4 linked regions of the Coturnix japonica genome follow. The main gene of each other region encodes a partner of the protein of the gene in region 3 in a complex. Links are inferred from orthologs where the notes say so. Each region holds a gene or a part of one and is shown on either strand. Other genes may lie near its edges.

Region 1 (4,576 bases), on a different chromosome or scaffold from region 3:
AAGGGGATGGAATAACGTTTGAAATGAAGTATTTTTCACTGCTGGTCAGTCTAAGCTCCTATTTAAATGAGCATGATTCCTATTGACTTACTTGGCAATATCTTCTAAAGTGATATCAATGTTTATCTGTCAAAGGTGTTCAGTGAATTGCACCGGACACGGTCCTGTATGGGACTGCACTGTGCTCAGCTCTTGGTTACCACAGCCCACTTACAAGCCAACAGAAGAAAGAAGTGAAAAATGACTGCACATCTCCTGAAGACAAAATTGTTAGCATTATTAAATGCACTGCTGTCATTTGTATGAGTTTATATACGTCAACTGTCCTCCTAAACAATGTGGATAACTAAATTCCCACTACAGTGCAGAGAAGAGGGCAGGATATGCCATGAACCTGATGACATGGAGCCTTCCCTCCCCTCTAAGGTCCCTGTGCAAAAGCAAAGGCACTGGGCGTTGTCTCTCACTTTTCTCTAGAAAGCGTGGAGCAGAGTCAGGCTGCGGTATGTCAAGCAATTAGATATGCTGTACCAGGAAAAAGTCATTTGTTCTCACAGCAATGCAATCAAGGTAAAAGGGAAGGGGAAAAAATAAGTACAGTCTGTGTTCAGAATGCAGAGCAAATATAAAACATCTGCTTGGATTACTGCTGGATGCGTCCAGTTGTGTGCGGTTTGGGGGAGGGGAAGGGAGGAGGGGAAAATCTCATCCCGCTGCTATTTTGCAACCTGCTTGCAAGCAGCATGAACTCAAAGCAATAAACACGCAACGCTAATGACCTCTGCATAGAAACACAGGTGGGAGGGACCAAGCCTACTCACGCTCCCTCCCACTGTGGGAGGCTGTGAGGACCTTGGGGTTAAGGCAAGAGGGCAAAGACATCCCCGAATCTTCCGCAACACGCTGCAGGCAGGAGCACATAGTTAACAACTGCAAAGCCAGATCTGTCTCTTTGCCATGAGACTGCTGTTGCAATTGTCGTCTCCTGGGTCACAGCTGGCTGTGTACAGCACATGCTTCAAAGCCATCTTCTTATTGCTCACTGTTCCCATCTTTTTGGCAGAGTGCTTAGTGCACAATTGCTAGTGTCCTGATACACCAGCCTCCCCAGGAGCTTTCCCTACGGGGAGGGATCTCTAATGCACAGGTAATTTCCTGCAAGCATTTTTTAAACTCTTTTCTTCAGAGCATGGCTGTTTACAGATATATAGATAGATATATACATACACAGACATTTTTAATAGATATGTATATATATATATATATATAAAAATAGCAATTTCATAGTTATATACAGGCATTATTAAAGTGCATAATGTTATTGGCTATTCTCAAATCTCTTTTCCTGAGGAAGTGCTAACAGACTTAGCTCCTCCTATGACATGACACTGGCTGCCTATGCTGGGGTACGACACCCACTCCCTGGCTTATAACTCCCATGCATACATCTCCCTGCCCAGAACCACAGCTCAAAGGGAGTAGTGACAGCCTCAGTCCTCCAGGAAGCAAGTCAAGGCACTGATTGTGACTTCTTCCTCTGCCAAGGTAACGTGCCTAGGAGCGACCTCCCTCCATTTTGGAGCTCTTGGGTGCATGCTACTTGGCGGTGGTCACAGAGCCATCCTCGGGGATCTTCTCCTCTGAACAGCTTCTCCCTGAGAGCTTGTCGTGGTGCTTAAACTCACTGAAGCGCTCTGCCACACACTGTGCTGTGAGCCGAGCCTCGGGGTCGTGGTCCCAGCACTCGATAAGGGTCTCACACACCATCTGGATGCCCTGTGGAGAACACAGAGAGAGCACAGTGGTGAGGGACATGCACAGCTAGACCAGGTTGCTCAGGGCTTGATCCAGCTCAGCCTTGAAAGTCTCCAGGGATGGGGCATCCACCACATCCCTGGGCAACCTGTTCCAGTGCCTCACCCTCCTCACTATAAAAGACTTTTTTGTTTGGACCAATAGAATAAAGTAGTTTTTGGTCTAATAAATACAATCAGAATAGCTAGATAACAACTTCCCACTCAACCCATCCCTTTGCATGGCTGAATCCTATTTGTGCTGGTTTTTTTTGAACAGAATCCTGATTGCCAGCAATATCAGTCCTGACATCAGCCTTTATGAATTCTCCACAGACAAACTAAAACTGTGTGCAAATATGGGCCGCAGTCCCACAAACACTTAAACACATGTCACTCACAGATGTAACTATTTAACCTTCATTTCAATGCCGATGCACATGTTTACAGGAGCAAAAAAACAGTTGCATCTTTGTAATGCATTTTATAAACATGAGGTATTTGCCAGGAAATGGTGTGTTTTGCTTTATGACACTAAGAGCCCATTAAAAGGGATTTATCTTAAACTTCTTATTTAAAAAAATAACATTTCACAACACTACATTAATTGTATAATTTACCTAATTGTGATGTTGACTGATGTCAATGTTAATAGCAGAACATTACTGTCTGTATACAAATAACATTAGTTTTCTGATGGCATTGAAATTACAAGCAGTAAATTAAATTAAATATTAAACATTAACTTGAAATCAATAGTGCAACAAATCTCATTAAGGGGGAAAAAATGTAATATGTAAATCCATTCCAGAATTTTATCATGATGAATAATGAGTTCATTACAAAAATACGACTGCAGAGGAAGGAAATGAATATGGAAGAGCTATTACAGTAAGAGCAGCTTCTGAGGAGTTCAAAGCAGATCCTCAGCTGCTGCAAACTGTCACAGCCCCGCTGAAGCCCATGCGTCACCCAATTGTAGGTAGCGCAATGTAAAGCGCTGAAGGGATTCAGACAAAGGGAATTAAATCCACCTTCGCTAAATGTCCTGGGAGCATGTTATTGGACATTCACTTCCTGCCTTAGATTCTTAACTGAACCTTGCTGGAGCCAGCTGTGCCCACTCCAGTCACACACAAACACAGGCAATGCATCCCAGCTGGCAGGACATCCTGTGTTTTGCAATGTGGGTAGCACCAACTGCCCCCAGCACTGCTGGAACCCTGAGCCTAACATGTGCAAGGAGCTGCTGGTGCTCCCTCACCAAGGCACAACCAGCTGCGTCGCTGCTCCTACTGTCATGCCATGTGGAGTCTGCAGGAGTAGCTCAGCCCTGAATGCACACAAGTCTCTGGGCCACTTAACGATACCCATGACCTCTTCTAAGTGTCAGTGACTTCTGCTTCATTGGAGCCTTCATCATCTTCTACTACATGTATGTCATCTGACTCTTCCCAAATGCAGAACAGAAATATTTGCTGACAACTTCCACCTCTGCATTAGCATAAGCAGGACAGGCAGTGATGGATTGGTACGAAGCTAGATTTCCTTTTGTTCTTGAGAAAATGTACTGTCCTCAAGTCTACTGACTACAGATCTTCCTGTTGTTCTTCTATTTCCCTAATCAGTTCTCTACACTACTTCATTTCTTTTGACATGTTAAGACCAGGACTTTGGGATATTCTCAGAAATGTTCTCACATTGTTGCTAATCTTAAGCATTTTCTTCAATTTTCTTTTTCCTTCCCAGTGTCCTGGCTCAGGATTCTTTCCTGCTTTGTTAATTGGGCTCTTCTAAATTTCCACGTTTGCTGCTGGTTTGGACTTCTTTTTGCCTTAGTGGAAAACAAATAGCTGCAGTCAGCTCCTGATGACTTTTACCTGTTCATACTTAATTAAATATATATATATATATATATATATATATATAAAATTGCAGTCTTTTCTATTCTGTACTCCTGAGCATGAATGTAACCTTCCCAGTTCAACAGATCAGTTAGAAGACAGCTGTAGCTATAGATCATAGAAATGTCAAAGGCCTTTCAGTACTGGCAACATCAGGTATTCAGATGTCCCTCAAAACACAGCTCTCCTCCTCAGTGAGAGCATCCCTCCTCAGTAACCCTGCTCATTGCAGATGACAGGTCCAGGAATGGCGTGCACTCTGCTGCAGTCATTAGGGAGCAGATACGTTGCTCCTGGTTGGAGGAATGACTGATTACAGCCACTCACAGGACCTTTCCCAATTAAGTGTTAGACTACAATTTTAACATTTCAACTGGAATGAAAAAATACGGAGTGTTACTGCTCCTGATGGAAATACCAGCTGATCTTGTTTGCCTGGCTTTTATAAATGTTTGTGATGCTTTCCTTTTGTCTGTAAAGACCACTCAACATATTTCACTGATAAGTGGAATGACCAAGCCTCACTTCTCTGATATGGTTCTCATTTTATCTCTTCTGATAAAACCGCTCAGAGCAGAAGTTAAGGAATGCATGCTTTTGGCTCTTTTCCATTCAGCAACTGAGAAGTTGGGCTGCGAATATCACCTAGGAAGTGCCACCATGATGTGTAAGAACAGAGAAAGCTGACAGAGAGCTTCCCAACATGCCAATGACTGACACTACACTGCCCTGAATAAAAACAAACAGACTTGCTGACGACTCACTTCCTATTTTCTTAAACCTGCCAGCAGCTGGGATGCCAGTATTACTTTTCTCTGTGATAAAAAGTGCTGAGCTTTGTTTTCTCTGCTGATGGAACCCGTGTGTAAAGCTGCTCTC
Region 2 (6,580 bases), on a different chromosome or scaffold from region 3:
TGCACTGGCCCAGGCTGCCAGGGAGATGATGGAGTCACCATCCTTGGAGATGTTCAAGAACCATGGGGATGTGGGACAGGACACAATCAGTAGGGGTGGTGGGGATGGGTTGAGATTGGACTCGAACTCAGTGGTTGTTTCCAGCCTCAATGATTCTATGATTAAATTTTATTTGTATTTGGAGATGGAATACAAATCTACCTACAACAAAAAGTGGTGAGTGCAGCCTCACATTCTCTGACACCTGAATTTTCAGAGCACTTTGGGAAGCTTGGATTTGCTGGTAGAATAACAGGATTTCATTGCATTTCTATACCTTAGGCTGATTTATTGAGCGGCCACACAGTTGTGACAGCTCAACTGTGATGATGAGCCTGGACAGAAACAAATGGCAAAGCAGGAGGGAAGGGCATGCACTGATTCTGCTTCTTCGAACTTTACTTCATTAAAGCTTCTGCCTTAGAGGCACAGTAAACACTCTGGGAATGATCAGCCATAGTGGTATCCTTACTGTCTTTGCCTTCTTTCATAAAGAGGATCAGAAAACAAAAAGTTTCAGATCCTGGAGCCTTTGGATGACTTCATTTTTTCAATATTTACTTGCTGTTTTCTACCCAGCAGTCTTTAACTTAAAAGGCTTTTTAACCATATGTACTTTTATGTGCAGTCGCTGTCCCCAGAGGTGTCCAGGAAAAGGCTTGATTTGGCACTGAGGGATGTGTTTAGTGTTCATGATGTGTTGGGGTTGGACTTGGTGATCTTAGAGGTCTTTTCCAACCTCAGTGATTCTATGATTCAGCACAGAATCCATCAGATGGATTGGGTCACCTGCATCAAACAGATTGGAAGATATGAACAGGCTGCCCAAAGGTGTTGTAGATACCCCTACCCCAGAGGTGCTCAAGGCCAGGTTGGATGGGGCCTTGGGCAGCCTGAGCTGGTGGGAGGCAATCAGCCCATGGGAGGCATTGGAACTGGGTGGGCTTTGAGACCACTTCCAACCTAAGCCAATGTATGATTCTATGAATTAGGGATCCAACACAACACAGAGATGGGTGTCTCATGAGATCACTCCTCCAAAGCCTCTTCCCAGCATAGCTCACAGTAGAAAAAGCAAATCCCAGCCTTTGGCTCTCACGAGCCTACCCACAATTTGCTGCAGGTTCCCAAGGGTTTCTGATAAACAAGAATATGTCTTGACGATTATATGTCTTGAACTTTCAGCCCTTTTGGAGTCTGTCCATCCATAACGCTGCTGCTTTCTAAGGCACTGCTTTTGGGTTGAGTCCTGTGTCAAGCAGCATGAATCAAACTCTCCAGAGAAGTAAACAAAACAAACTCCTGCCTTAGAAAGTGGGTCTGAACTGCAAGGGCAGGAGTGGGACACATCTTGCTCCCTTTGGCCAGAATAGCTCCCCAGTGATTCATCCCCCCAGGGAGCTGGGGGCAACAGCAATATTAACCCTATTAAAAACTAAATAGCTGAGGCTATCCTCAGGCATGGACTTTCAGAAGGAGGCACAGCTCCAGTTCCTGAGAGCCTACAGAATCTCTCCTGCTTCAGTTCAGTTAGACGTCAGGGGGAATTTTTTCACTGAGAGAATGGTGAGGCATTGTCACAGAATTCCCAGAGAAACAGGATGCTCCATCCCTGGTAATGTTCAACACCAAAATGGGGTCTTGGGCAGCCTAATCTACTTCTTGATCTAGCAGTTGGCAACCCTGCCTGTGGCAGATGGTTTGGAACCTGATGACCCTTGAAGATCCTTACAACCCAAGCCATTCCATTCTATGATGACAAGCACCATGCACAGGTTCAAACTCCTGTCTCTCTACCATCAAGTCCACAAACCAATCGATCCCACAACACCTGCATGACTTATATCGGGCTTTTCCCCTGCCTATTGCCTTCCTTCTCTCTCTCCCATGTGGTCCTCTTTCTTTAGGACCAGGCAGCCAACAGCATTTCCCCACCATAGATTATCTGGGAGACATCAGCTTTCCAGCCCACTTGGACAGCAGATACACACAGGATTTAATGACTTCTCCTATTTCATTCACCTCCGTTTTTATATAAATAGAAAAATATATATATAAAATGGATGAGAATTGCATGAAAACGTCAGCCTCAAGACATTGAAAGAGAGGGGCTGGGCAAAGGGATGGCAAAGGCATTGAAAGAGAGGGGCTGGGCAAAGGGATGGCAAAGCATGTGAAAATGCAATAAGTTCTATCTACCCAAAGATACATGAGCTGGCACTGGAAGATGAAACTATCTGAATATGAAATTCTCTCTGTGGAGAACAAAATTCTTGGAGAAACTCAAAGCCACAAACCAAACCATAATGCTTTCTGACCAGCTTTAACCTACGCACAGTAAAACACAGAGAGAAATCAGTTTTTATTTCAGTAATTTTTCTGACAGTGGAGTCAGGTTTTTTTGATAGTAGATGTATTCAATTTGTATGATACAGCAGGGGATACTCAATACAACAGGAGATAAAATGAAGTGAGGAAAACTATTTCTGGCACATTTGACTTGCGCAACATCGATACCCTCATGTGAATTCATTCATAATTGTATTAATAAAGGCCAAGCACTGATTCAGTCACTGATCTGCTCTAGAAAGACAAGACTGATCGTAACTTTTGATGTTGAAATCCAAAACAAAATTAATCAATAGGATTATTTTAAATCTGGAAAAAGTACATCTTGGTAAAAAATCAGATTAGTATTATTACTATTTATTTTTATTTTTTTTTTTGTGGAAAGCCAAACTTTGGATTCTGTATAAGGGAAACATATGTGTACTTTGATCAAAAATACAACAGAGCTTGGCTTTAAAATGTTTTCTGTGGCTTTTATATGAACCAGGATTTTGTAGAACTTTGCTATTTCCAAATATCCTCTAAACATCAATTCCTCACGAGTTTGGATGCAACACAAACAGCAACTACCAATAAGTCACTGTTCACCCAAGGTGACATTCAAGCTGTGAGGATAGGAGCAATAGACCAATGCTGTTAACCCATACCTTGTGTTCCAAAAGGAACAGCCCAGTGACAGCACTGATAGCAAGGAGAGCAGCAAGCTAAGCAGCATTTCACTTCATTTCAGCCTGGGACAGTGTGATTTGCCCAAGGCTGTATGAGGACGCAGTGTCAGAGTGCTGGGAGAGCAGCATTAATCAGTGAGCACAGTGCCAGTCTCTGCAGCACTCCTGGTTCAGGGCACTACAATGCAGTAACACCATAAATAGAATGAAGTGCTGTGAAGAAAGGATAAAACTTATCTCTCCATCTTTTGTGGACGCTAACACAGTTAATGACTGTATGGCTACAAATGAACCAGTGCTTCCTTAACTTAAAGAGTGCAACTCTCTGCAGCTCAAGTCCCGATGACTTGAATATACAGCTGTGCAGATAGAGACATTTACATCGAGTGTTTAACCAGCGCATAAACATAGCTATCTTATTTACACAGCACCTTCCCCATCTGTGCTATTTCTAAAGGCTGCAGCTCTGCGTCCCCGCAGCCAAAAAAGCTCCCAGCTCAACTTCCCAGCGCTTCTTCACATACCTGATGTGGGGTCGGAGGAGGAGGATTCGCCTCTGCCCGCAGTTTTCTGCCTCCCAGCCGCTCCCAGCAGCCGTCCCAGCGCGAGCTGGGGAAGAGTTTCCTTGGGGAAGTCGAACCTCTGTTGCATGCCAGCTGACTAAAACTCTGCGAGCTCGGAGAGAAGTTTGAAGTCACAGGGAGAGAAAAAAAAAGAAAGAAACAACCACGCTCCCCATAGACCGGTCCTTGAATTCATTCCTTCGCAGTCATGAGCTCTTATATATTCCCAGGCTCCCATGAGCACGTGAACGCATAGCTCCGTAATAGTTTTAAAATGTGTGTGTCCTCTTGTGCTTCTCTTTATTTTCCATTTCGTTCATTCAACCTTGGCTTATTTCCTGCAGTTTCTCAGCTGGTGATTACGCTTCTCTCGTATTGACGCTCGGAACAGGCTGTGAGCACCACAGAAATCCCCTTTGCAGAGCTCGGTGATACAGGCTGGGTTGGGGCAAACTGTGGGGACAAAGTGAAGGTAGACAGCCCTATAGACCCATAATAAAGATGGGACTGTTCAAGGGTCATAGACCCACGTACACTCCTAAAAGGGCAAACCCATCAGCTCTGTGCAGGATGGAGTGTGAGGGGAGAGGGTAATTTTGGAGAGGGATGAGCACAGCACTTTGTCCTCCAGCCTCTCTCTGTGACACAACAGTGAGATGTACCCCTGGGGGAAAGGATAAACTCAATTTCATGCTTGAATGGGTAATAGCAGAAATACCTTCTGAAAAGGATGATGAGGCAGACCTGGTTTTCTTTTCCTTTGATCATTTTTTTCCTTAGTGTTTCCTTGGTCATTGGTTTGATTTCTTTCCTTGTTGTCATGTGGATGGGTTGGAGAGATGAGAATTGTTCATGTTGTCTTCTGCTCAGAAGTGCTCTGGTCACTGGGCTGGTGTCCACTGGCCTCACACACCAGTTTCCAGAAATACCAGTTCTGAGAGGGTTTTGCCAGCTCTAGACTGGATGTTCTATGATTCTAGGATCCTTAGGATGATAAGACTAGATGTCTTAGGGGCAAGCTGAGTCTTAGCTTTGTTAGTTGTGTCCTGATCTCCCTTGGACTAGTACACCCCATCGTGGAATCCCAAATGGCACCGAGGCTCACAGCCAACCTCACACCCTATGCCTATGGGGACCATCTCCACCATTGCCACTGCTGGCATTGTGCTGCAGTGCTGCACATGTGTCTGTGATGGCACAGACCTTCTCCTCTGAGACAGTGTGCTGTGCACTCTTGGAAGACGTCACAAGTGCTGGCAGATGTTAGACACCTTGCTTCCCCTGCACGAAGAAGACACTCCAAAGTGCCAGTGGTGAGTGCTAAGGACATCCGTGCCATGCAAAGCCCATAGAGGAGAAGTCTGGCTTCAGCACTGGACATTTCCCACCTTTAGACCATTATTTGCATTGATTTCCACTGGTAAATAATAATAATAATAATAATAATAACAACAACAACAAGAAAAATGCAGTGCTGACTCTTTTCTCCTGGACAGCATAAATTCTGCTCTGCTTGTCTGGATCCATTTGGTAAATCATAGAATCGTTAAGGTTGGAAAGACAGTTAAGGTCACTGAGAACAACCATCAACCCACCATACCATTAAACCATGTCCCTTGGTAAAGACAGATAAAAGGCATATCCTTTCATCCCATGTGCCAAAAACCTTTGAGGGTTCTGTTCAACACATGCCAGCATGCAGCCTTTGCCCCTCCACAACAAGTTGCTGATGGGTTTCTTGTAGCACACCAGCCTTTGTGAGTCAGAGTTTTTCCAGATCTGCAATGTAGTGGGAGGCTCTGGGTGAAAGCATCAACAGATGTGTGAGATGTGGTTCGTTAAATAGCATAGTAAATACATCTTGCATACGTTGCTGTTTTAAGTGTGTAACAAAGACGATAAATAATGGTGAGTATATAATAGAAAAGAAGCAAACAATGGCTTTATTACTTGCAGTAGCCTTGTCCAACCCAACTTTAAAAACCCCCAGTGACCCACAACTTCTGGAACAAGAGGGGAATGTTTTTAGACTGAGACAAGGGAGGTTTAGGTTGGGTATTAGGTTGGGTCTTCCAAGAGCCTCCTCTTCTTCAGGCTAAACAACCCCAACTCTCTCAGCATTATCCCTGATTGACATTACCCTGCATGGCAAATATAAGGATGGGCATGTCCTTGTGCCCTTATAGAAACTTTAATGTTTTAAGAGTATCCTACAAAGTCATGATTCACATCACAGTATTTATTTAAGTCTAATGAATGTTTTCCAGCGTGACAGCGTGACATGTATCAAGAAGTAAGCTTATGATCTGAAAGCAGCATGGCCCTTGACATTTTGTGCAATGCCTGAACTAACTATCCACTATTGCTCCATCCTGTGACATCACCCCTAGTGAATGGCTACACAGTTTGGTTTGGCACAAGCTCAACATTGTTTTCTTGAGGAATACCTGCCATCCAAGCTGAAACTCTTCTCTAATTCCATGCTATTTTAGTCAGCTAGGAATTACCCACAGAGAAAGTTCACCAAAGCACAAGGGTATGTAGTTTCACCTCCTGTCACTGAGCCAGGAAGACCTGATGGCCAATTTGATGTCACGGCAGCCATGTGGACTGGCTACTTAGAGAAGTGAATTCTGTTGTATATTCCAAGTGGAGCATGAATAGGAAAGTGATCCATCACTGAAAGGGGAAAAAGTCTTCCAAAAATAAATTTAATCCACATATGGAAACAGAAGAAATTATTCCCACAGACTCTACTATTGCTGCACCTCCAGCTCTGTTGTGTGGGTCTCAGAAGATATGGGTCAACCTATGGCTGATTCCAGGTGACACCTGAGGGATGATGTTTCTCTGGTTATATCTCTTGATCTAATAATGTCTTTCCCAGGGAGAGAACCCTGACCCCATCTGCACAGACCTGGCCCCTCCTCATACTCAGGCATCAGGATGCATCAACAAGCA
Region 3 (5,458 bases):
GAAGTGAGAGAGAAGTGCAGTCTGGATGGGGTTTGCGTGCATTTCTGCAAAAGGAATAGCTTTGTATTTCAGAGTCTCTCCGGGAAGCTCAGCTTGATGGATTCTCAGCTCTGCTTTCCAGTTAGGGTGACTGAAACACGGGGAAGTCAGGCATCCTGCATGAGGTGGCCTAGAGAGTCAGTGGCTTGGCTGGCCTAAAATGTAGGAACCTCCTGGCTTGCAGCCCTGGGCTGCAGCCACTGGCCCCCACAGGCTCAATTTCTGAGGCTGTTTTGCAGAGTGCCAATGATCTGACATCTTCTTTAGACCATTCATCTTCTTGCTTGTCCTGGGACTGAAGCCAACAGCAAGTGGGATGGATTAATGGCCCCACCAGCAGTTTGCAAATGGTAAAACAGGTGGCCCACAGGCCTCTATTTCAGGCCTGCAGCAGTCAGATGCACCAGGAGTAAAGAGTTCCCTAGGAGGGAAGAAGTCCCAGAGCGAGTACATGAGGTGCCTGAGTCTCTTTTGCCCTGGTTCAGGGCAGGCAGAGAGTGTTAAGTGTACTGAAAAGTCTTGTTGCATCCTTCACTTCCATATTGATGTCCTCTTCATGGATCCTGTTTCTGTCTGAAGGCATTGACAGTGAGGATGACTATGGCCGTGGGGACTTGGGGCGCCTGAAGAAGCAGAAAGACTTGCATAATCCCCACCTCATCTTGATGATGTTACCCCCACATCGCCTGGAGAGCCCAACACTGGGAGGCCAGAGAAAGAAGCGGGCCCTGGATACCAACTACTGCTTCCGGTAAGTGAGAATCCTGCCAGTGGCCGGGTCCCATGCCTGAGGTGGGAAAGTGGTGAGACTTCACATCACTGGGCAAGGCAGTGCCCACCGAGGGGGCTGCAATTCACTGTGGTTCTGCAGGGGCCACGTGAGCAGTGTAGCTCAGCTGGTGCTCCTTGCAGCCTTCAAGAAGGGGATGCTGCCTGGCCCAGCAATCACTTCTGGCCAAGTTTCTGGCTAGCGGGAGGCTTGTGATCAGCCTCGTGCAGTACAGCCTGGGCAGGGACCAGGCCCGTGGCAGAACAGCCTGGCAGCATGTGCATGCAGTGCCAGGCTGCTGGCCTGCCAGCTTCTGCCAGGTTCTGCCATTCCTGTGCACCCAGTGCAGGTGAATACCACATCCCACCGGGCAATACTGGTCCTGGTTCTTCTGCTCTGGAAGCTGCTTTATGCAAGCACATAAAAGATCCCTCTTTAGATTCACTTCATGTCCATTCTGTGTTTCAGGAACCTGGAGGAGAACTGCTGTGTGCGTCCTCTTTACATCGACTTCCGACAGGACCTGGGCTGGAAATGGGTCCATGAGCCTAAAGGCTACTTTGCCAACTTCTGTTCGGGTCCATGTCCGTACCTCCGCAGTGCAGACACCACTCACAGCACGGTACATCCAGCATATTATCCTTGTGGCCCTGTCAGCACCTCCCTCAGTCTGATGGCATTTGGGCTCTTCAAAGTAGCAGGAGCAGTTTAGATCAATACCTGCAAAAAACTACAAGGAAAGTGCAGCAAAGAGTCTAAGTAGTTTAGCAGGGAGAAACGGTCTTCCTATGGAGTCAGTACTGAGTCCATGCTTCCAGGCAAATGTTGAGGAAGAGGATGCTGTCTCTTGTATGAGATGGGGAAACATCAGGACTTAGGGTACCACTGAAGAGCAGCCAGCTCTGGGAAGACACATGTCAGCTCTTTCATGGTGGTTACATGGCTGGAGTGTACAGTTGTCTGTGGGTTGGGGCCAGCTGGGAGAATGAAGCCAACAGGGTCCCACAGGACACTGTCCCGGCTCCTGCATTACAGTGTAATGATGTGGGGGATGGAGTGGAGAAAGAAAGCATTGGACAGTTCAAAGCTGGGAGGGAACTGTGGCTACTCGAAAGGACAGGCATCCATCCAGCACTATCTAGAGATGTTGGTTGAAATAAGCAGCATTGATTTTCTTTGTTCTGGTTTCTGTAATGGAACCAAAGACAACGCAGCCCCAGGCTGGTTACACCCTGCCTTCTTACAAGCAGAAGTGGCACAATCCGCTGTACCAAATTAGAGATTAAGGGAGTGAACTACTTGTACTTCTTCCACCCTTAGGCATCAGCCAGTCTACATTGCTACGATTAAAAAGCAAAAGGCTCTGGATCAGGCCTGGGCAGGAGCAGGCCATGATAAGAATATTAGTCACATCAGGGAAATGCCCCCGATGAGCGCAGTCCACATACCTGGAGACATGTTTGCTTGCAGTACCTTCCTGTTCTCGACCAACTTAAATGGATTCCTGACTTTGTCACCACATTTACATTTGTTTCCACAGGTGCTGGGCTTGTACAACACCCTGAACCCTGAGGCATCTGCTTCACCCTGCTGCGTCCCACAGGACCTGGAGCCACTGACCATCTTGTACTATGTTGGGAGGACACCCAAAGTGGAGCAGCTCTCCAATATGGTGGTGAAATCCTGCAAGTGCAGCTGAAAGGCACCCTGGGCTGCCCAAAGCCTAGAGAGAAACTGTCAGCACCCATTCTGCTCCAAGGCTAGCACAAAAGGAACTGGGGGTCAGAGACTATGCATGCACAGGGCCGAGTGCTAAACCCTGTGGCTTTGGGTCTGGCAGCCCTTGGGAATCTCTTCTGGAACATTTCTCGGTCTTGTTGCTGGTGTTGCGTTCCCTCTGGGAGCTGCTCTGGCAACATAAAGGCCACACTCCAAAATGACTGGACAGTTGATGCAGAAGAGAAGGACAGTGAAGGAACTGCTGTGTATTTGAATTTTGGGGTAGTCGAACTGGGAAGGCAAAGGATTAGAAAGAGCAGTTAAAAGGAGGGATTGGAAATGGGGCAGTGTTCCCCTTCTTGCTGTAGCTCCCTTGGGACCTCTGCCCTCCCCACTGGCCTGAAGAACTATGAAGGCTTTCCCTCCTGCAGGAGAAAATCCTAGAAGTTTCTTTAGAGAAAGAAAATGCACCAAGAAGAGAAGCTGCTCAGAGAAGAGATGCTCAGAGAGACACACAGACTTACGTTCCTCAGAACTGTGATCCAGGAGGCCTGTATCTATAGTTGTGTTTCTGACAGACCTGAAACTTCAGTTGGCAGATCCTGGCTATTGGTTTCCAAATGCAAACTGCAGGGCTCCCATTCAGCCTGCTGAGGGTGGGCAAAGGCAAGCAAAGAGGGTGCTGAGTCCTTTTTTAGGAGGACTGATGTTTCTATTCAGCTCTTTTCCCTTTCTGGAGTTGCTGAAAGATGGTTTGTGGGTCAGGGCAGGAGCGCTATCTGGGGGTACCTGGATTTTGGAGCCATTCACTCATGAATTGATAACACCCTGAGGACCTTTGTCTGTTGTGGTTTGTGATCTCAATGTGGCCCCAGCCTCACCTGCCAAGACTTTAAAAAAAATAATATTAATCTCAAAAACATTGTAAAAAAATAAATATTTTGGGGGGAAGATGGTCTTTTTTTTTTCTCCTCTCCCCACAATGACGCTGTTGAAGGGTTGGATGGTTTTTTGTTTGTAAACTGCTTCTACTGTGGCAATACTTGGTTACTTTAGAATCTTTTCCTGAGTATCTCTTCAAGGAAACGGGCAGAATTTAGGTCAGCCAGAGAGCTCAGAATGGAAATTCCTTTGTACCTTCAAACAGCGTCTGCTGTGGGTGTGCCCTTCTCACGTCCCTCCGACAGACGCGTCACCTCTGGCGTCTGATTTTGATAGGTTTATATAAAGCTCCCCTCAATCACAACGTATTTCCAAGAGTGCTGTTGAAATAATCAGGGCGCTGCAGTTGTCACAGCTGACAAAAATCATACATTCACTGGAATATCTAAGTTCTGCCAGTACAGACTCGTACACAAAGGCCAGCCCCCTCACATTTACCATGAACGCTTCATACACATAAAATGCTCACAGATGTGGCCCTGGCAAGTAACCAACACACTGTTTTGTAAAGTGTGCTTTTTTCGGCCGCAGATACTCTGAAAATTACAAACTTTGAGTACTTGCTTGCATGTCAGATGAGACCCAGAGGCTGCCTCTCCTGCAACCACAACTACTTAATGTTCTAAAGACCACAAAGAAATTTGTCTCTGTCCCTTCCCACTTCCTGGTCCCCAGCAGCTGAATGTCACGACATGGAACAACTTAATTGCTTGTGGCCAGGGCTCTGCGTGGTCAGCTTGGAATGCAGCTCCTGCTCCTGCACTTCAGTAGCTGCTTCCACACACCTTGCTGCAATGCTGCCGTAACATGTAATCACAAGCTGCACACCCATAAACTACTCTGCTCCATCAGCAGCTGGCAGGATCAGCAAGGGTGGGTCGGCAGAGGGAGCCTGCCAGGCTGCATGACATTTTGGCTGGGGCACACGTGCTCTGAGAGGCACTCCCTGATGCTCAGCTTTATCCCTTTCATCTCCCCAGGGCTCCTTGACCTGTCTTCTTGGTGTAGGGATGAAAAGCAGCGCTCTGATCAGCCCCGCAGCACTAATTTATTGCTGTGCGGCTATCCACGCACACACCTGCCGAGGGAGGGAGCAGGTAAATGCATTGCAACTTCACTGCTATGCTGATAGACAGTCCAGGAATTTAGTGGCTGCCCTGGAGAGGGGGAAAGAGAGGGAAATCCAGATGCCAGTTGGCACAGGAATTCTCTCTTAATCTCCTTTTAGCAGCAGCAGCCCCTGGGGAGGTTTTGGTTTAAAAGCTACAGTCTGTTCTTTGGTCACTGTTCCTCGTGAGCCCTGTGCTGGCTCTGCTGCCTTTCCAGCTGAAGAGCTTTCTTGCTACTAAGGGGAAAAAAAGCACAAGGAGGGGGAGCTGCAAAGAGCTGAGCAAGAACACGAGCTTCGCAGTCATACGTGGCACTTGGAGCGTGCCAGAACCACCCACAGATTAACCCTGGCAGGCCCCTTGAGGTGAGCCTGCTTTGCTAGGCCTTGCTGCTGCTGCTCAGTGGCAGGGAGGGGCGGCAGAGGGAGCAGGCCACGTTGAACTGCTTGGAAGGAAGACAAAATGGAAGGGAAGGCAGGGGGGAGGATTCCCGGGGTGTTCTACGGGTTAGGATACAGGTAACCTCATGGGTACAGGAGTCAAACACTGCCTTCAGTTACTCCTCTCTCCAGCCTTCAGTTTCCTATCTGCCTTTGAGAATTAGGCTTGTAAGACAGGCTCTAAATTCATTTTCTTACAGTTAAAATAGCTTCCTTAGGGTTGCTTGAGCTATAGTTTAGCAACAGTCTATACTACCTACACGGGGTTAATAAGAGATTGAATCCACTCTTGGGCCCAGGCTTCCATCTGCTCTGTTACTAGGTGGCAAATTGACAAAGACAATGGGAATGAAAAAGTGAGCTCTTCACTGCCAACAATGAATACAGCTCCCAACAGTTCCCTTTTGTCATTCCCAGGAACAAACAGAAGCTGATGAAAA
Region 4 (5,902 bases), on a different chromosome or scaffold from region 3:
TGATTTCTCAAGGAAATGGGAAATCTATTTAGCAATGCTTGCCAATTACATTTCCTGTCACTATTTATCTTTTACTTTCCCTGAAGCTAGGAGTAATTTCTTTTTTCCCGCTTTCCTTCTTTCTTATTGTAATAATACTGACATACTTCTGAAAGGTAACAGTGATGTTTTCTAACATTAATCTGGACAGATTTTCAACTCTCACCAAAATTATCTAGAAAATACTACATACCTGAAGTTTGGTCAACATAATGCAATAAGTAAGCACATGAGGTTTTACACTGGTCAAGTTTAGCTTGAGATGCATTGTTAGAATGATGGCACTGAACACAATTCCTGTAAGAAAAATGTAATTAAATCATTCTGTTTTTCTCTGCTCTCTCCTTACAGAGATTCTATCAACAAGCTGACGTATTGTTTTCCTGTTGTTAGTAAAAACATTGCGACATTTATTTATTTTTTCTGAAATGAGATGCCTTCCTCAGCATTTTATCCCTGTGACACTTCTCAAGGCTGACCACTCAGAATTAGTAAGTAGAACATCTGTTTGGTTTCAAGCCCCCTTCATCCGGCCCCTGTTTTGCATTCTCAGATGTGTTCCTCAGGGGTCTTGCACCATCTCTTCCACTGTCAGCCTCCTGTTCATTCTTAGTCTTCCTTGTCTATCACTGGAAAATATGCTGTGATAGTCAAGAACTTTTTTGATGCTTTGTTAGGAAAAAACATATAAGTTCTCAGTGCTGGGTAGCTTATACAGATCATCAGCAAGGTGGGAGACAGCATGGCAGCCTCACTAATTTCACTTTATAGCTTTGCAAGAGGATGGACATCTCAGGCGATACCAGAAAAGCCTTGATTCTTTTTCAAATGAATGTATGCCATTTTCTGAATGTATTAGAGGCACACATTTCACAGTGATACTGAATTAGTCTAATGAATTAGTCTAAGCCAGCAAGGCTAACTTCATTTTATCCGGCGAATCTATTAGCAGTCACCTTTCCAGATACAGTCCAATTTGTCTCCCCTGTGCATTTACCACATGAACTATATTTCAAATGAGTACAAATAATCAACATTTCTGTTTCTACTGCATTTCCCTCCCCAACTAAAGGCTGTTCTGTCACCATGCTGTAGAAATTGGGATGTGAGACGATATTTGTGTTATTTTTCAGGAGGGCCAGAGAAACCACGGACAAGGTTTCACTCACTCTACCTTAAAAAACACAGTGACAGTGCATGGGTACTGCTCTTGTTCACTCCTCCTCCCTTCAGACTGTAGGCACAAGGAGAGCGTGGAGAGAAATTCAGGAAATATTACTGGACTTAGTGGCACTTAAGAGCAGGATCTAGTGTCCATTTCTAAAATCCCAAAATTATAGACTCTGTTCTCAACTCAGAACATTTTATATGAAGAACTGTCCCTTAGTATATATGAAAAAAGCCATACTCATACCACATATCACCTATGACTTCCCAAAGCAGAAATACTGATGAGCACAGATGTGGACATTCAGCTGTTTTGTGAGCAGGAAAACCCTACTACATAGAAAAAATCCTTGGGTAGGAAATGTTTCAAGTTTCCTATAATCTAAACATCTAAGGAAAATAGCACATAGTATACATAGCCAAGAAGAAATATTTCTCCTTGCTTCAACACTACAGAGTTAAACATGAAGTGTGGCACAAGTAACCTACCAGTTTTCTTCACAGGCTTTGTTACAAGCAGGGCAGAATTCACACAAACGGCCAAAGCTTCTTGGGTCAGTGCACTCACATTTTCCACATACACAGTTTCCTCTTCCACTGCAAATCTGGCCCTTGGAATTCAGGCACTGCTTTGCTGATTGTAATGAACACTCGCAACGGTCACCTTCCCAATCAGCAAAGCATTTACATTTACCAGCTTCACATTCACCATTACCTAAAACATCAGATAACCTTGAGTCAAATGCTTTTATGAAAACACAGAAAGTCAATTTTTATATACATATGTTTGTATTGCAGGTGCCTTATATCAAACAGCTAATGTAGTCCTTGGCCTGCTGATAAGCTTTTAAAGTTAACAATTAGGCTGAAATTATCACCATGATACACATTTATGGCTGCTGTTTGCTGCTAATTTGAGCAAAAGCTGCTACCTTGATTGTGTCCTAAAATGTTTTACCACAGTTTTCCTTGTTGTCATGGATCAAAGCAGAAGAGTTTAAAAATTACACAACTTTCAGGAAAACAGCCTTCAAGCAAACTAAACAAACTACTCTGTAGCAATTAAGCATTTAGCTCAAATAAATTGCAAAATTCTGAGAGGAAGGAGTATCAAGTTCATATGTTCAAGCCAGTTCTTTTCATTTTCTTTTCAGAAGCATGCATTACAACATTTTTCAGCCTTTTAAAGGGACAGATAACTGAATGCAGTATGAAAATTAAATTGCACAGCCTCAAGGGCTCAAAGGCTATGGAGAACCTCTGGTGGCAAATCAGTGGATGCTTTAGGGCAAAATCCAGACATTTTTCACATTGCAGTATATTAAGACAGGTGTACAATTGATGTGCCGGTAATGTTTAGCCATAGTTTTACAACGTAAGAAAACACCTTTAGGAAATATAAAAACAGAGAGTCCAATGCAGCTGTTGCTTGCAGCTATAGCAAATCTTATGAGACTTCCTCAGCCATGCCCTCAGCAGTACATAGACTTTGCATGTACTGCAGTGGCCCTTCTTGTGCTTCAAGGACCTGCAGAGCAGATGCAGAAAGACAGTCCCATCTAACTACATGGAATTGCCTAAGGGTTGAGGGCGGGGGGCAGTGTGAGTAAAGTATAGGCTGCCTCTTGTTCTGCCTGGGCTCTGTGCTGTAAAATATCCCACTAAGGGGCAGATACAGAGACATGGTCCCATGTTGCTTGGGCAGGAGACTCCATCAAAGTAAGAATCTCCAACATGTCTTAGACAAAGATCTCCCTGTTTCCTCTTCCACTGCATCACAGGCTTTGGGACCTTGCAAATTTGAAAGTTCTGCTTAGGATAAGAAAAACTAAATACCCAGACTTTGCTGTGGTCAGAGGAGAAGACTGAGAACATGAACAACAAGTTTTTGTGTTGGAATGAATCATAAAATCATAGGATTGTTTGAGCTGCAAGTGACTCTTGAAGGTCATCTAGTCCCGTCTTCTGCAATGAACAAGAATATCTAGAGCTTTACCAGGTTACCCAGAGATCCCTCCAGTCTGACCTTGAATATGTCCAGGGACAGGTCTTCCACCATCTCTCTGGGAAACCTGTTCTGATGCCTCACCACTCCTGTAGTAACTTTTTTTTTTTTTGGCATATATCCAGTTTAAATCTCTCTTTCAGTTGAAACCATTTCTCCTTGTCTTGTCACAAGAGATCCTGATAAAAGTCCGTCCCCTTCTTTCTTATATCCCCCTTAGATACAGAAAGGCCACTATCAGGTCACCTCAGAGCCTTCTCTTCCCCATGTTGAACAGTCCTAGCTCTCTCATATGTCCTCACAGGAGAAGTGTTCCATGCTGTGGATCATTTTTGTGGCCCTCTTCTGGAAGCGCTCCAGCAGGTTCATGTCTCTCCTATACTGAGAGATGTATCTATCCATATCTGGATACAGTACTCCAGGTGAGGTCTCACTAGCTCAGAGCAGAGAGGCAGGATCACCTCCCTTGACCTGGTGAACACGTTTCCCTTGGTGCAGCCCAGGACACAGTTGGCTTTCTGGGCTACAAGGGCAAATTGCTGGCTTGTATCCTGCTTCCATCCACCAGTGTCCCTAAATCCTTTTTACCAGGGCTGTGCTCTATCCTTCCATCCAGCTTGCATTGATACTGGGGGTTGATGAGATCCAGATACAAGACTTGGCTTTGTCAAACTTCATGAGGTTCACCTAGGCCCACTGCTCAAGCATGTCTAGGTCTCTCTGGATGGTATCTTATTTCTTGGTCATGTTGACTACACCACACAGCTTGGTGTCATCTGCAAACTTGTTGAGGATGTACTTGATTGCACTGTCAGTATCACTGATGAAGATATTAAAGAGCATCTGTACTAGCACTGACACCTGAGGTCCACAACTCATTCCTGATTTCCATTTAGACATTGAACCATTGACCACCATTCGCTGGGGAGTAAATGGGAATTCTTTTTCCATTGAACAGCCAACCTGTCAGATCCATATATTTTCAATTTGGAGAGAAGGTTGTTGTAGGGGACTGTGTCAAAAGCCTTACTGAACAAAAGTTCAGACAGTTGACTTTAGTGACTTTTCCTTGTTCACTGATGCTGTTACACCACCATAGAAGGCCAATATGTTGGTCAAGCAGGACTTGGTGAAGCCATGTTACTTGTTCTATATCACCTCCCTGCTCTCCATGTGTTGCAGCATAGCTTCCAGGTGGATCCACTCCATGGTCTTCCCCAGCACAGAGATGAGGCTGACAAGTTGGTAATTCCCTGGATTGTCCTTTCTAACCTTCTTGAAAATGGGTGTGACGTTGCTTTTTTCCAGGCACAAGGGACTTCACCTGACTGCTGTGACTTTTCAAACATCATTGAGAGTAGCTTGGCAACACATCAGCCAATGCCTCACTCAGTACAGAGTGAAATGAGAGGATGCAGAACAGCAGTACAGGTTTTAAAGTACTTGAAATATAACTTCTGAGGGTAAAAAATATATTCCAGTAGAGATAATGATTCTGATTAAAATCTATTTTCCTTAATATCATTAATTTAAAGGTACTTTAAGTGTTTGCATATGTATCAGTATTAGAAACCAGATATCACTGTATCTATGACAAGACTGATTCAGGGTGTTAGAAAATCAGAACTACATGTAGATGTTATGGCTCCTTCTATTCTCTCAGCATCTCACATATATCTCCTAATTCTGCACACATAATTCTTGTACTTGACAGCTTTACATCATTTCTTTCAGATGCATAATGTACATAAGTTTCAGAAAAGAAAACACAAGAAAAGTAAAGCACAGACCTAAATTCTGCAGCTTACCAGAGCATAAGTTTCCCTGGTGATATGGGCAAGAAAAATCATCCATTTGACAGTATTTGCCATATACCCTGCCTAGCTTGTTCTTGTAGCAGAAACATTTTCCCTCTATGCAATCTCCTTGGCCACTGCAGATGGGCTGGTCCTGGTGCTGCCTGCACTCCTCAGAAGGAAACGTCTCTCTGCTGTAGCTGCAACTGCTGTCACTGCAATGGGGCTGTTTGCCATCAGGAAAGGTTTCATCAGTCCATACTCTCTTGGGCTTTGTGTTGTTTCCATTCTGACAGGCACAGCTTTTCTGTACATTAATAGTAGTGGTTTCATTGAAACCAATAGGCTTAAGTATTGCATAACTTCTTCCCCCTGATGTATCACATCCTTTCACTGTGACTGACACATTGAAAAGTACCTAGGAAAAATAAAAACATATTTTACATTTATCCTTTTTTTCCCTACAAATTACTTACAATTTTTAATGCACAAAGAAGAATCTCACATTACGTATGAACGTGCAGTAGCTGGTAATAGTATTTAGTGGCCACTTGTGAAATATACTAGCAAACATAAGCATCGCAAACATGATTAAACCCTAACAACATGAGGTTGGCAGGAGTCTGCTTTTCATGTTAAGAAAGCATAGCTGCAGAAAACAGGTTTAATACTTGATAAATGCTCATAGAATTACCATTTTCCACCTCCTTTTTTTTTTTTTTTTTTTTTTTAAATATGTTCATTCTGTTTATATTATAGAAACACAAATCAGAATGGATAGAGCAAGAGCAACACAAGCAGAAACAGATACTCATCATAAAAACAATCTACAGTAAATTTCCTTGTTGCAGAAAGAGACTGTGGAAACATAAAATACATGGGCTTTTCTGGAAGG

What was found.
Region 1: the proteins of TGFB3 (region 3) and TGFBR2 are in contact, whole or in part, in a crystal structure (PDB 9B9F), measured with the Homo sapiens proteins. The link is inferred for Coturnix japonica from reciprocal best matches to the Homo sapiens genes TGFB3 and TGFBR2. Residues at the interface, in NP_001316868.1 of Homo sapiens: Arg325, Lys331, Trp332, His334, Tyr390, Tyr391, Val392, Gly393, Arg394; in NP_003233.4 of Homo sapiens: Leu50, Phe53, Asp55, Ser72, Ile73, Thr74, Ser75, Ile76, Glu78, Val100, Asp141, Glu142.
Region 2: the proteins of TGFB3 (region 3) and LRRC32 are in contact, whole or in part, in a cryo-EM structure (PDB 8VSB), measured with the Homo sapiens proteins. The link is inferred for Coturnix japonica from reciprocal best matches to the Homo sapiens genes TGFB3 and LRRC32. Residues at the interface, in NP_001316868.1 of Homo sapiens: Leu24, Ser25, Thr26, Cys27, Thr28, Leu30, Pro347, Pro349, Tyr350, Leu351, Arg352, Thr357, His358, Val361, Leu364, Leu368, Ser375; in NP_001122394.1 of Homo sapiens: Ala110, Ser135, Tyr137, Ser160, Val184, Met186, Asp187, Ile188, Asp190, Phe193, Leu202, Leu204, Arg206, Asn207, Ser208, Thr210, Cys211, Ile212, Ser213, Asp214, Phe215, Ser216, Leu217, Cys227, Asn228, Ser229, Lys254.
Region 4: the proteins of TGFB3 (region 3) and ITGB8 are in contact, whole or in part, in a cryo-EM structure (PDB 8VS6), measured with the Homo sapiens proteins. The link is inferred for Coturnix japonica from reciprocal best matches to the Homo sapiens genes TGFB3 and ITGB8. Residues at the interface, in NP_001316868.1 of Homo sapiens: Gly262, Asp263, Leu264, Arg266, Leu267, Lys268; in NP_002205.1 of Homo sapiens: Ser156, Ala157, Ser158, Asn161, Arg206, Gln210, Cys211, Tyr214, Leu216, Ser247, Gly248, Asn249, Ile250, Asp251, Thr252, Glu254.

The regions. Positions count from the first base shown.
Region 1 is NC_029517.1:36,726,454-36,731,029, reverse strand, and holds part of TGFBR2 (TGF-beta receptor type-2), read right to left. Parts: intron 1,777-4,576; coding exon 1,597-1,776; 3' UTR 1-1,596. UniProt on the Homo sapiens protein: Transmembrane serine/threonine kinase forming with the TGF-beta type I serine/threonine kinase receptor, TGFBR1, the non-promiscuous receptor for the TGF-beta cytokines TGFB1, TGFB2 and TGFB3.
Region 2 is NC_029516.1:173,276,641-173,283,220, reverse strand, and holds the start of LRRC32 (transforming growth factor beta activator LRRC32), read right to left. Parts: upstream 4,143-6,580; 5' UTR 3,581-4,142; intron 1-3,580.
Region 3 is NC_029520.1:34,880,182-34,885,639, reverse strand, and holds the end of TGFB3 (transforming growth factor beta-3 proprotein), read left to right. Parts: intron 1-618; coding exon 619-790; intron 791-1,276; coding exon 1,277-1,430; intron 1,431-2,348; coding exon 2,349-2,507; 3' UTR 2,508-3,513; downstream 3,514-5,458. UniProt on the Homo sapiens protein: Transforming growth factor beta-3 proprotein: Precursor of the Latency-associated peptide (LAP) and Transforming growth factor beta-3 (TGF-beta-3) chains, which constitute the regulatory and active subunit of TGF-beta-3, respectively.
Region 4 is NC_029517.1:27,614,918-27,620,819, reverse strand, and holds part of ITGB8 (integrin beta-8), read right to left. Parts: intron 5,426-5,902; coding exon 5,020-5,425; intron 1,922-5,019; coding exon 1,696-1,921; intron 337-1,695; coding exon 233-336; intron 1-232. UniProt on the Homo sapiens protein: Integrin alpha-V:beta-8 (ITGAV:ITGB8) is a receptor for fibronectin. It recognizes the sequence R-G-D in its ligands.